Caenorhabditis elegans: one gene and its partner. The protein of the gene in region 2 interacts with the protein of the main gene of each other region in a biochemical or structural test. Each region holds a gene or a part of one and is shown on either strand. Other genes may lie near its edges.

Region 1 (4,929 bases), on a different chromosome or scaffold from region 2:
CTGTTGGAGCTGCTATTTTCAGTGGACTTGTTGCACCATTGGCTATCTACTATCAGCTGAGCACGGTACTCTATCCGGAATAACTTTGTAAACAATATAATATTCAGGGTTACGGCCCTCTAAATGGATTCCGGCTTTTGGTTATTGCAACAACTGTACAGGGAGTTCTCACTGGATCCGCATTGTCACACGTCTTGATTTCGGCTGAACCATTCGTTGCCCTTTCTACTATTGCATCCTCGTTCATTATTGCAGTGATGAACCCGACTTGTAAGTTGCTTGCGTTAGAAAATACAAAAAAAGTAATTTTAGCTCGGGCATCTTCACTCTCAACCACTGTGGCCACCTCAATTCTGATTCACTCCACACTTGGAGCTGTTGAAGGAGCATTGACACCTGTTTATTTTGTACTGACTGGATTCTACACTCTTGCCGCTTTGATTCCCATTCAATTGGCTAGTCGTGATCAGAGCCGTGCAAATGTGAACTTGTATTCTGCCATTCTCGTTGGTCTCACCATCTCTGCAAAGTGCTTGGTTTACGGTGTTCTTGGAGCATATGACGTGCCAATCTCTGCTTCCGAAGAGCAATTTGGATTGGAAGGAAATGCTGAGATTAATGTGAACGCATAAGAAAAATGAATGAAATTTGATAAATATGTACAGTGTGCTAGGGGGCTTCATTTTGAAAGAAAATAAAAATGATCAAAAGAATGAAAGTCATGGTACAGTAAATGCGTGGTTGGGAATGGCGAAAGTGATTTAGAGAGTTAAAGATCCTCAGTGACTGAGTAGTTTGTTTGACAACTATTAGATAGATGACCTAGGCATAAGGCGTGAGTTAAAAAAAAAACCCTTCAGTCTTGGAAGCGTATTGCAATGAAGCCACATTGCTTAGAGACCAAGAAGGGACTGATTTAAAAGAATGGGTTGGTAGAAGAGGAACCAGTCGAAACGGAGACCTGCAAAGTGTGACTCAAAATAGAAAAAGAAACGAGAAACGGAAAATAAGTTAAGAAAAAGATGGGATGAAAATTAACAAAGTTTAAACAGAATGATAAATAAAAGTAATGGGAGAGAGGGTGCTATTATTCGGCGTCGTCAGAAATCGATGAGAAGTCAAGAATTCCACAAGGAATCTGATGACCCCCTTCCCCGAGTGGGAGATGTTCTCCTGCTGGTGTGGTTGACGATGATTCTGACGGGCGATCTGGGAAATCCGGTGTGATCACCTGGAGCCCAAGTTGAACAATGCGCTCTTCAGCTAGGTTGACTATGGAAGACGCATTTGAAGCATTTGAACTTATATTGCGCTGATAGATAAGAGCTGCATCTAAATCATTCTGCAAAATGAAAAAATTATACTGAAATTTTTAATGACAGTATTTACCTCCGATTCCGTGCTTTGAATATCGAACGCAGAAACCCATTTGGGTCGTCTCTCATCATCCAAACCATAAAGAATATTCTCCATGCTGCTTGTCTTGCTTCCAGTAGAGGTTAAAGCACTAGACGACCTTGATAACATCTAAAATTAGTAAAGTTGAATTGAAGACGATTTTAAACTAACGTTCAAAGAAGAATTATTTCTTCGAATTACACTACGAGTACATCTTTTCTTCTTTTCCTCGCGATGACTGGTTTCTCCATTAGGTTTCAACGAAGCCATTGAATGATGCCGTTCGAGACGAGCCGATTTAAATTCCATCGAAAATGAACTGTGTGTCATTGGAATGTAAGAACATGGCTCACATATCTGACGACATTCAGCAGTACTCCACAACGATTTATAGCCATAGTCCAACAAATACATTTCCGGATATTCGACATGTGGATAACGAAGTTCATTCAACACGCGGTCAATAGAACGTACAGCATGAGCCCTAAAAATCAGATATTTTATAAAATAAATAAAGAAATACCACCGACATTGTTGGCCCCCGTTTCTGACTGTATTCGCAATAGAAGATCGGAACACGATTTTGAAAAGAACTGGCTTCGCCGTTTTCTGGGAAAAATATTGGCTTGATCTTGTCATGACGAAACAAATTGATAGCTCCTTTCACATGACCACCCTTGTACTCAAATGGAAAACGACAGTCGACTATAATGTATTTCTTATCGAAATCATCTCCAAGACGTTGAAATTCCAAGAGTAAAGTAGTAGGTGAGATACTCCGGAATGCTTGTGACTCTCTCTGTGGATTATCAACACCGGGAAGAGTGTACTTCTAAAAAGTAATTTTCTGGATAACTTCAAAAAATAATCGAAAAAGTATACCACTTCTAACGTTGGAGGAAGTTCAGAATCAATCTCACCAACGCTCATCGCACGCAAAATTTGTTTTGGTCTCTCCTGGAAAGATCCGTTGCCTGACGTATCGGAAGTTTTTCGTTCAAAAAACATCGGCGGTGCCAAATCCCATAACGAAGTTGCTGTTCGTGGGGCAGGTTGAGCGAAAATTGATGTATTCTGAACTTGAGAGTTTCTGACGTTGCTCTGCTCAAAGACCTCATCGTCTTCATCACCGAATGGATCATCCCTCGGGTTATTGAGACCATTATAGCGACAAGATTTGTCACTCTGTGGAGCAACAAGAGACAAATTCCGGCTTCTCTTGCGATCCAGGAGCGTGACGCTGGGAGACATTGAACTGGAAGTTCTTTTCCGATGATTATCCGTTGGTCTCTCGCTCATAACTCTTTTCTCATATTCTGAGTGATCGAGAGAATCCAAATCAAACACCGTCTTCATCTTACGCCCTGTTGGTGTATCATAGTTGTAGCTGAAAATTGTTTTTTTTTGGAAGTCGCATGATGGGAATATACAAAGAAGAGCTGCGTGATGAGCTGACAGACGAGTTTCGTTGTAAAATTGAAACGAAATTGGAACAGTCTGTGAGGGCTACACGACCAGATTCCAGTTTGCTAAAATCCACATCTTCCTCGGGTGATGCATCTGATTTGTCGCTACAGCTAGTCATTGAGACACCTGAATAAGAAACAAATATTAATTAAGCCTTCCATTTACATGACAAACCAGAATCGCGGGAGCTGCCATCTTCTTCAAATAAGGTTTTCGGTGATTCGTTGATACCGTTTGCCACATCAACCACATTCTCGATGATATTTACATTATTTTGATCCTCATATATTGCTTTTTCCCCGGTGGTAGCCATCAGAGATGCACAGCCCTCAACTAAAAATTATAGGAGATACCAACATTTGAATTTAGAAGTAAAATTATTTGGCCAGAAACGCGGAGAGAGATTGACCACACGAAGAGACGCAGCCTATGTTACAAAAGAGGAAAAAGGACCGTGATTGACAACAAAGGAATGAATAAGAGCTTAATTTTTCCTAATCGAAAAAGAATTTAGACTCTTCGAAAATTTAGAAAAAAATTGGGCAAAAGATTCTTATTTAGTTGAAATTTAATCAAAAGAAGGATATAATTTGTGATTTGAAATTTTGGCGCTCTAGCGCCCAGTTTTCGTTTGATCTATTCATTAAGAAATTTTATTTTGGTATTTAGAAACTGCTCATAAAAAAAACGCAATCATCATCTTGAAATCAGCAAACCCAATTTCTGTATTCATCATGTTCTGTTGCACTGTTATACCATTTTTTTTTCAGTTTCCCATCATTCCGGGTATCAGATTTCAGAGCTCCCATGAACAAGCCACTTTTTAGACATGCTGGACGGCAATGTGTCTAGAAATCATTTACAGACGAACTTAGTTGACATTCAATCAAATTTTCAATAAAAAATTATGGAAATAAATTTGTTGATTGTAAATTTTGGGAGAATGGAGAGCTGCTTCCGTCAGTGAAATTAGGCCAAAGCCGCCCAACTACAGTAACCTCCCATAAAGCGTATTTGCCTCACCCCGTATTTTTGCGTAAAAGTGTTTCCAAAGTTTGAATTTTTTTCAATTTTAATTCGCGTTTTCAATGACACTCCGATATAACGGTACCGCGTGTTGTTTGTCGTAAATCATATGTTTTTTTTGAGTTGAATTCATTCAAAATGATGAATCATCCTTTAATTTATTCATAATTTTAGCCTTAAAACTTTAATTTGGTTTGTTGAAGCCTTCAGATTGTTATTTTAAATTGAATTAATAAATTTAAATGCATATTCTAATAGAATTTCTCATAATATACGAGACCCTAAGTGTTTTAGTTTTTTGTCAGTTTGTGTTTGTACGAGAACTCATACCTTTCTCTTTATACCGTTCCTTTCTTGTTGCTCGTAGCACTTTTTCTATTTATCACAATGATTGCCTTGAAATGCATCGTTTACGATTGTAACATTCTTTCTATTTTTCCGCTCCATATTTCTATATTATGTCTTCAAACCAGCTCTTGTTAGCTGTTATCCTGACCACAACCACCTTTTGGCGTTCTTGGATAATCATGAAAATTGTCAGTTTTTGAACGTGTAACCACTCTTGAATTACAGCTTTCATAACACTATTGTTTTGGTTTTTCAGAATGCCAAGCTCCAGCGAGACACTGCAACTTTTTCCTCACGAGGGACGAGGCAAAAAGGTTTCTAGGCCATGGTCGAGTCCCCGACAAATTTCAGCGGCCATTTATGTTGCTTTGTTTTCCGCGTGTTTTCTTTTGTTTTGCACCATTTTTTCCCGTTTTTCTTATTAAAACTAATAAATAAATATTTTTTGCAGATGCTAAAACAATTTCCAAGTGAAAAATTGTGTATTGAGTCGGTAAGTAGCGGTGAAAGTGGTCAATGTAATATGATGGATTACGGAAATACAAAACCTAAACTTTCCCAAACATGATACATATGCTGCTTAGATGCTGAAACTACCTGATTTTCATAACGAGACCGCTGAAAAAGTTTTGAGGTTTTCAAAATTCAACTTTTTTGATGAAAAAGTAGAGATTTTCGCACAAAATGTTG
Region 2 (5,753 bases):
TCATTTGAAACAGAAAAAAATCACATTTACTGCTGAATCGCTTCCTAAACCAATTGAAAAGGGTACTGTAACTTGTCATCGTCTAGGTTTCAATGTGTTGTACTCGTTTTTTGATTGCTTCGCGAATTCGTATTAAATCAAAAATCTATAGTCATCCTACATAGTGTGTCCACTATGAAAATAGTTGTGAAACATTCCAATCTCCGACAATTCGTGAACTTTACAATAATCCCATTCTAACCTCTCCGGAAATTGATAAGAACTCAAAGGTGTGTGCCAAATTGAACTTTTTTTGCCACACTTCGGGTTCAAACTTACCGCTTTTTTGCTTTTGCAGAGGAGAAATATTAGTTTTGGCATTAAAATGTGACACCACCCATCTGCCAAACACTTGATCTGCCAAACACTTGAGCTGTCACATTTTTGATCGAATTGCAATTGAAATATGGAAAATTCCGTAAACTTTCTTGTGAAATATCTAATCGATATGTTGTCATTTAACTGTCGCATGACTTGATTTTGCATGCTTATCGATTATAACTTTTGACTTTTTTCTACTACAAAACTGGGATTCAGTGGAAGGTTAATTATTTTCTCATTATCACTCTTGTCACATGACTAAATAAATAGTGTGATAAGAATGGGGACGTAGAGATGTAATAGAAGAAAGTTGCAGAAATGCTCAAATCGGTTCTGCAAAGTTGTCAGTGACAATGACGTAGGAAAGACAGGAAGTGACAGAAGAATGATAATGAGAAACTCTAATTTAGAAAAAAAGATGGAATGGCAGATTGTGGAGTAGCAAAACCCAAATTTGTTTATATCATTTCGAACTATACAGAACACAATTTTCCGAGCGAATAAAAGAAATTTGGAATTGGAGGCAATGGAAGGGGAGAAAAATTAGGAACGAAAACGATTATTTGAAACAGATTTGTGTGAAGCGATTGAAAATGTGCGGGTGAGGAAAGCGGGGGATAGAAGCATTTAGAATCGTCGCCGTAGAAGAAAAACCGTTGAGAAATGGGAAGAGGGATGAAAAACAAAATAAAATGGTGAGAGTGGATGAATGGGCACCCGCAAAGCATGCGACTTTGAAAATTGAAGTATTAAAAAAATAGTTTCAGAAAAACCAGGACTCGAATGCGGTTACAAAAACAAGAAAGAAAGGGGTTGTGCGTGCGATATTCCAATATGTCGATTGAGAAAAGATGAATAGAATGCAGAGACACACACACACACTATTATCACATGAAATCAGATCAGTTAATAGTGAGAGGAAAAGTTGGGAAGGGGATGCAAAAGGATACTGTACAAAGGAATTTCAACTTTCTTTTTTGGAAAATGACAAGGAAGATTACAGAGGGTTTGGTTGATTTCTGCACCGGTTGAAGATCAGTAAAAATTCAAAAAAAAATGGGAAGGAGTGTAGATTTTATGGGCCACCATCTGGCATCTCTTCGTCTACGTCGCCTCCGCCCAGGTGATCCATATTATTTTGTTGTCGGCGCATATTGTCAAAAGCAGCCATTTCTTGCTGAAACTTGTCAATCTTTAGTCTCATCATTCAATTTTCAATTTTACCATAAGTCTGACAGGCAATTCTGGTCTTGGTTGCCTCCTTCTATGATTCTGATTGTGTGGTTGCGGTGGCGCTGGTCCAGCCACGTTCGGATTATTAACCTGATCAACTCTGTCCAGATCTTCCTCTGATGACGATTCATCATTGTCCCCGGCACCTCTAGCAGCTTCCGCCGCTGCTGCAGCTGCTGCAATATCGGCATTGTGTCGACGAGCAGCATTGGCACGTGGCCTCAGTGCAGGTTCTTCCACAACTTCTCTATCTCGTCGCTCAATTTCTCGTCGAGCAGCCATTTCAAAAAGCATTTGAGCTCGAGCGACAGCAGCTTGGTTTGGAAGTTCTGGGAGGGTGGCCTAGAAAAATAAATATGAATCACGGAAAAGAAACTGACTACAAATTTGCAAGCACTTTTTTTTCTTCAAAGTGTATTTGCGAATTTTGAAGACTATCAAATGTACTGCCATTTCTCAATTAACAGATTTGATCCAGATGTTGTACTTACTCTGTTTGTTGAAGACGGAAGCCCACTGGGTGGAGCGTCCAAAAAGTCCCAAATGAGAATAGTGTCATCATGTGAAGAGGAAACAATTTGGAAATCATCAAACTGCAGGCGGAACACTCTGCCAGTATGTTGAACTAATGAGCAGAGGCATATTTCCGAAGATAATGCACGAGGATCTAGAGCAGCTTGAAGATCCCATACTTTAATCTTTCCGTCGTATGCTCCGGAGACAATTCGTTTTTCGTCAAATCGAATGCATCGCACGAGCTCTTCATGGCCTTCAAGAACACGTAGGCATACACCAGAATGAATATCCCATAGTCGAATCGTGTTATCACTGGATCCAGAAACAACGAGCCGTCCACGATATTGAAGACATGCAATTCCTCGTCGATGGCCAGCCAATGTTCGAACAAACTCGAGTGTATCCATTGACCAGACCTGAATATTGAAAAAAATTAATATTTTCAGAACCGCAAGAATAGTAAACGAGACTCAAACGATAAGTACACCTTTAAATTAAAAAAAAAGCTTCTTAATAACTGGAAAAGCAGTTTTTTAATTTCAAATTCTCACCTTAATAGTTCGGTCTCCACTTGCACTGACTATATATCTATCATCAAAATCAACGACATTTACAGCTGCTCTATGACCAACAAGAACTCTTCGAATTGTGATATCGCGTGGCGAAACCATATCCCAGACAGCAATCGATCTATCTTTTGAGCATGTTACCATTATTCCATTAGCAAATCGAAGATGAAGAACAGCTTCACAATGATGAATTAACGTTTTAATGCACTCTCCAGTTTCGACATCCCAGACACGTACTGTGGCATCAGAAGATCCAGAAATTATTACACGATTGTCATATTGAAGGCATAAAACGGAACCAGTATGTCCAGAAAGAATTCGACTGCAGCTGTAGTCTTTTCTATCCCAAATCTAAAAATATCAGAGTTATTTTGAAATCAAAATAATATCATTCTGACTTTAATAGTGTTGTCCCTCAAACCAGATACAATTTTGTCATCGTCATATTGAAGGCAATATACTCCTTTGCTATTTTCTGATTGACAATTTATTCGAGTCATTTTGTAGTTTCCACGTTTCCAGTTGTTGTCAATGTTATGAATATCTCGAATGATTTTTGGATATAATTTACTGTAGAAGACATGCATTAAAATGAGCTGATCAAGCTTATCCCGTTTAATATTCACATCGTAGTTGAATTTTTCACAGATTCGTCGCACTGACATGTCTCGACTGATATTCAGGAATTTGTCCCTGAAATCAAGTATTTTATTCCTATTTTCTGATAAACTAAATCATCAACTAACCATTGTCTTTTTTCAGAAAGTCCCCACCACAGGGAATCACTTCGAACATTCTTTTCAATCAATTTCTTCCAATGTTGACCACGGGCGAGTGCACATCGCCAGCTTGTGCTCACTTCTTCGCAAGATTTTAATGAATCCGAGTTTACATTAAACAGAATTAATTCGACAAGATGTGCTGAAATAAAATAGAATTAGATTAGTTTAATACTGAACAGACAAAAATTTTACCTGGTAAATTACTAATGAAATCTCTCTGGAGCATGGGCCTGATAAAGTTGTCGACTTTTCCCAACTGATAATGTGATAATCGATGAACAATTTTGTCCATAAAATCGAGCTGTTCGTGTTCACTCCATTTTAATACTTCCTGAAAAAGGTGATGATAGTTGAAGAAAGATTTGGGAAAAATCAAAAAAAAAAAAAAAAAAAAAATCAAAACGACATTATGATGGCGCTAGAATGACGGGAAATCTCGTTTTCCTTACCTCGATCAGGCCTTCGTGCCCTTGAAGGTAGTCAATAGAAAGCGGTTTGCCCTCATCGTGTTCACCTTCCGTCAACGATAAGTCCGCCAGCTGCTGAGTTGTTGAAGCTCGGTGCGGTGAAGACATTTAATGTCCTGAATTAAATGGATATTATTGAGTGTTGATTGATTAGAAGATAAAAATATGTCGATATTTAGAGAACAATGTTTTTGTGTAAAAATCAATTTAAAGTCGGAAAGATCTCATATAATCAGGTGAGTTAATCAGTATCATCGAAATTTAAAGGAAATTAAAGGGAAAATGTTCCGAAGATGAAATTGTATCAACGTTGCAATGAATTTTTTGTTTCGAGAATTCTCTTGATTTCGTAATCTTTTACAGAATCAGTGAACTGGTTAATCCAAATAGAAAAATAAATTGTTATAGGAATATCTGAATTTCAGCTGAAAATAGCAAATAAAACATCTGGGAGTTTGAATTTAACAACACAATATTTGAAGATTGACATTTAAAAAACTTATTAAATAATATGTATTGCAAATGAAAAGGTAACGCACATTTTGGTGTTTATCGTCAAATTTGTGTTTATAATTTCAACTTATTTTAAAAAATAAATCAAGAATCTTTTATATGTCTCGATAGAGAATCAAAATAGTGATTTTAATCAAAGATTTCAGGGCATTTCAGAAAATCGATAAAATAGCATTTAAACTGGCAAATTTTTCGATGAGCATAATAACTATTTAGTCATGACTTTTTTTTAGTTTTTCAATCATAAATTTGCTCTTTTCTCCATTTGGGAGAAACATATTTAACGTTTTTATGATGCGGTTGGGCATTAAACGAGAACAAACGTTCGGAAATTGAAAATATCTCAGGTTTTCCTGAAAATACACAACTAACGGAAAACGATGAAAACGAACGACTATACGAAAGGAAGATTTGAGTGTTACGAGAAGGAAACAAAAAAGAAAAGACAGAAAAGAAGGTAGAAAAGAGAAAGAAAATCGGATTAGAGACAGCGGTGAAGCACCTTTCAATAGTGGAGACGCAGACAGTTAGAGCTTGAATCGACCCGCCGTCTCGTGCACGCCCTCTTTGCTTTAGGGCGCGCTTGCCTTCTCTAAATCTCCGCATTTTATGTGATGTCTAGCCCAATCCAACTGGATTCTGTTCACCTTTAAAACTAGCGAAAAGCGGAGAAAGCAAGAGAAAACAGTGTGGGAAAGGGTATTTCTCGTACTTTTTCTGCACCCCGTGCACTCTAATACTACCTCCCTCTGTCTGCTGATCACATTTTCAGCTCGACTTTTGATTTTCAGACCCGAAATTCGAGATATTATTACACATTTAGATTGACATATCTCTCGTTCTTTTTCAACCTACCTTCTTTTCCGTCTGTTTTGTGTTCGTTTGAAAAATCTTGTTTTCGTTGGTCTAGCGGTTTTTATTTCAGGATTTCAGACGCAAGTAAATACATCAGAAAGAGGACAGTGAGAGTACTGTAAACTTTAAAGGCGCACACCTTTTTGTGCAACATCTGCTTCAAAGTTTTTTGTTCGTGGCAAGACCTATTGTGCTTCAGAAATCGGATAAATTCGAAACCACTTATAATAAAAATTTGCAAAACGTATCCCATAAACATAATTTATTCTATTACATGTATATTACACTTTCAAGGAATTCACAATTCTGAAAAAATTGTTTTTAGTATAGAATCTGAAACTTTCTAAGTTTTGTACTAAATTTGAAATATCCAAACTTTTAAATTAGCTGATACCATACATTGAAATTTGAGAATTACACTTAAACGTAATACCACATAATTTCTGTCAACTTCTGTT

The links.
Region 1: of the proteins of lin-23 (region 2) and cdc-25.1, one has a biochemical effect on the other in vitro, tested with the Caenorhabditis elegans proteins (one study listed by BioGRID).

The regions. Positions count from the first base shown.
Region 1 is NC_003279.8:6,468,725-6,473,653, forward strand, and holds cdc-25.1 (M-phase inducer phosphatase cdc-25.1), read right to left. Parts: upstream 3,199-4,929; 5' UTR 3,179-3,198; coding exon 3,040-3,178; intron 2,992-3,039; coding exon 2,829-2,991; intron 2,786-2,828; coding exon 2,281-2,785; intron 2,231-2,280; coding exon 1,929-2,230; intron 1,883-1,928; coding exon 1,570-1,882; intron 1,528-1,569; coding exon 1,390-1,527; intron 1,343-1,389; coding exon 1,088-1,342; 3' UTR 662-1,087; downstream 1-661. Other genes in the region: K06A5.2 (DUF389 domain membrane protein), read left to right, coding at 1-65, 108-270, 313-632; uad-2 (Chromo domain-containing protein), read left to right, coding at 4,497-4,553.
Region 2 is NC_003280.10:6,369,595-6,375,347, reverse strand, and holds lin-23 (F-box domain-containing protein), read right to left. Parts: upstream 4,046-5,753; 5' UTR 4,036-4,045; coding exon 3,910-4,035; intron 3,792-3,909; coding exon 3,653-3,791; intron 3,600-3,652; coding exon 3,425-3,599; intron 3,372-3,424; coding exon 3,077-3,371; intron 3,030-3,076; coding exon 2,661-3,029; intron 2,526-2,660; coding exon 2,085-2,525; intron 1,936-2,084; coding exon 1,585-1,935; intron 1,544-1,584; coding exon 1,436-1,543; 3' UTR 798-1,435; downstream 1-797. UniProt on the Caenorhabditis elegans protein: Functions cell autonomously to negatively regulate cell cycle progression. Required to restrain cell proliferation in response to developmental cues. Probably recognizes and binds to some proteins and promotes their ubiquitination and degradation.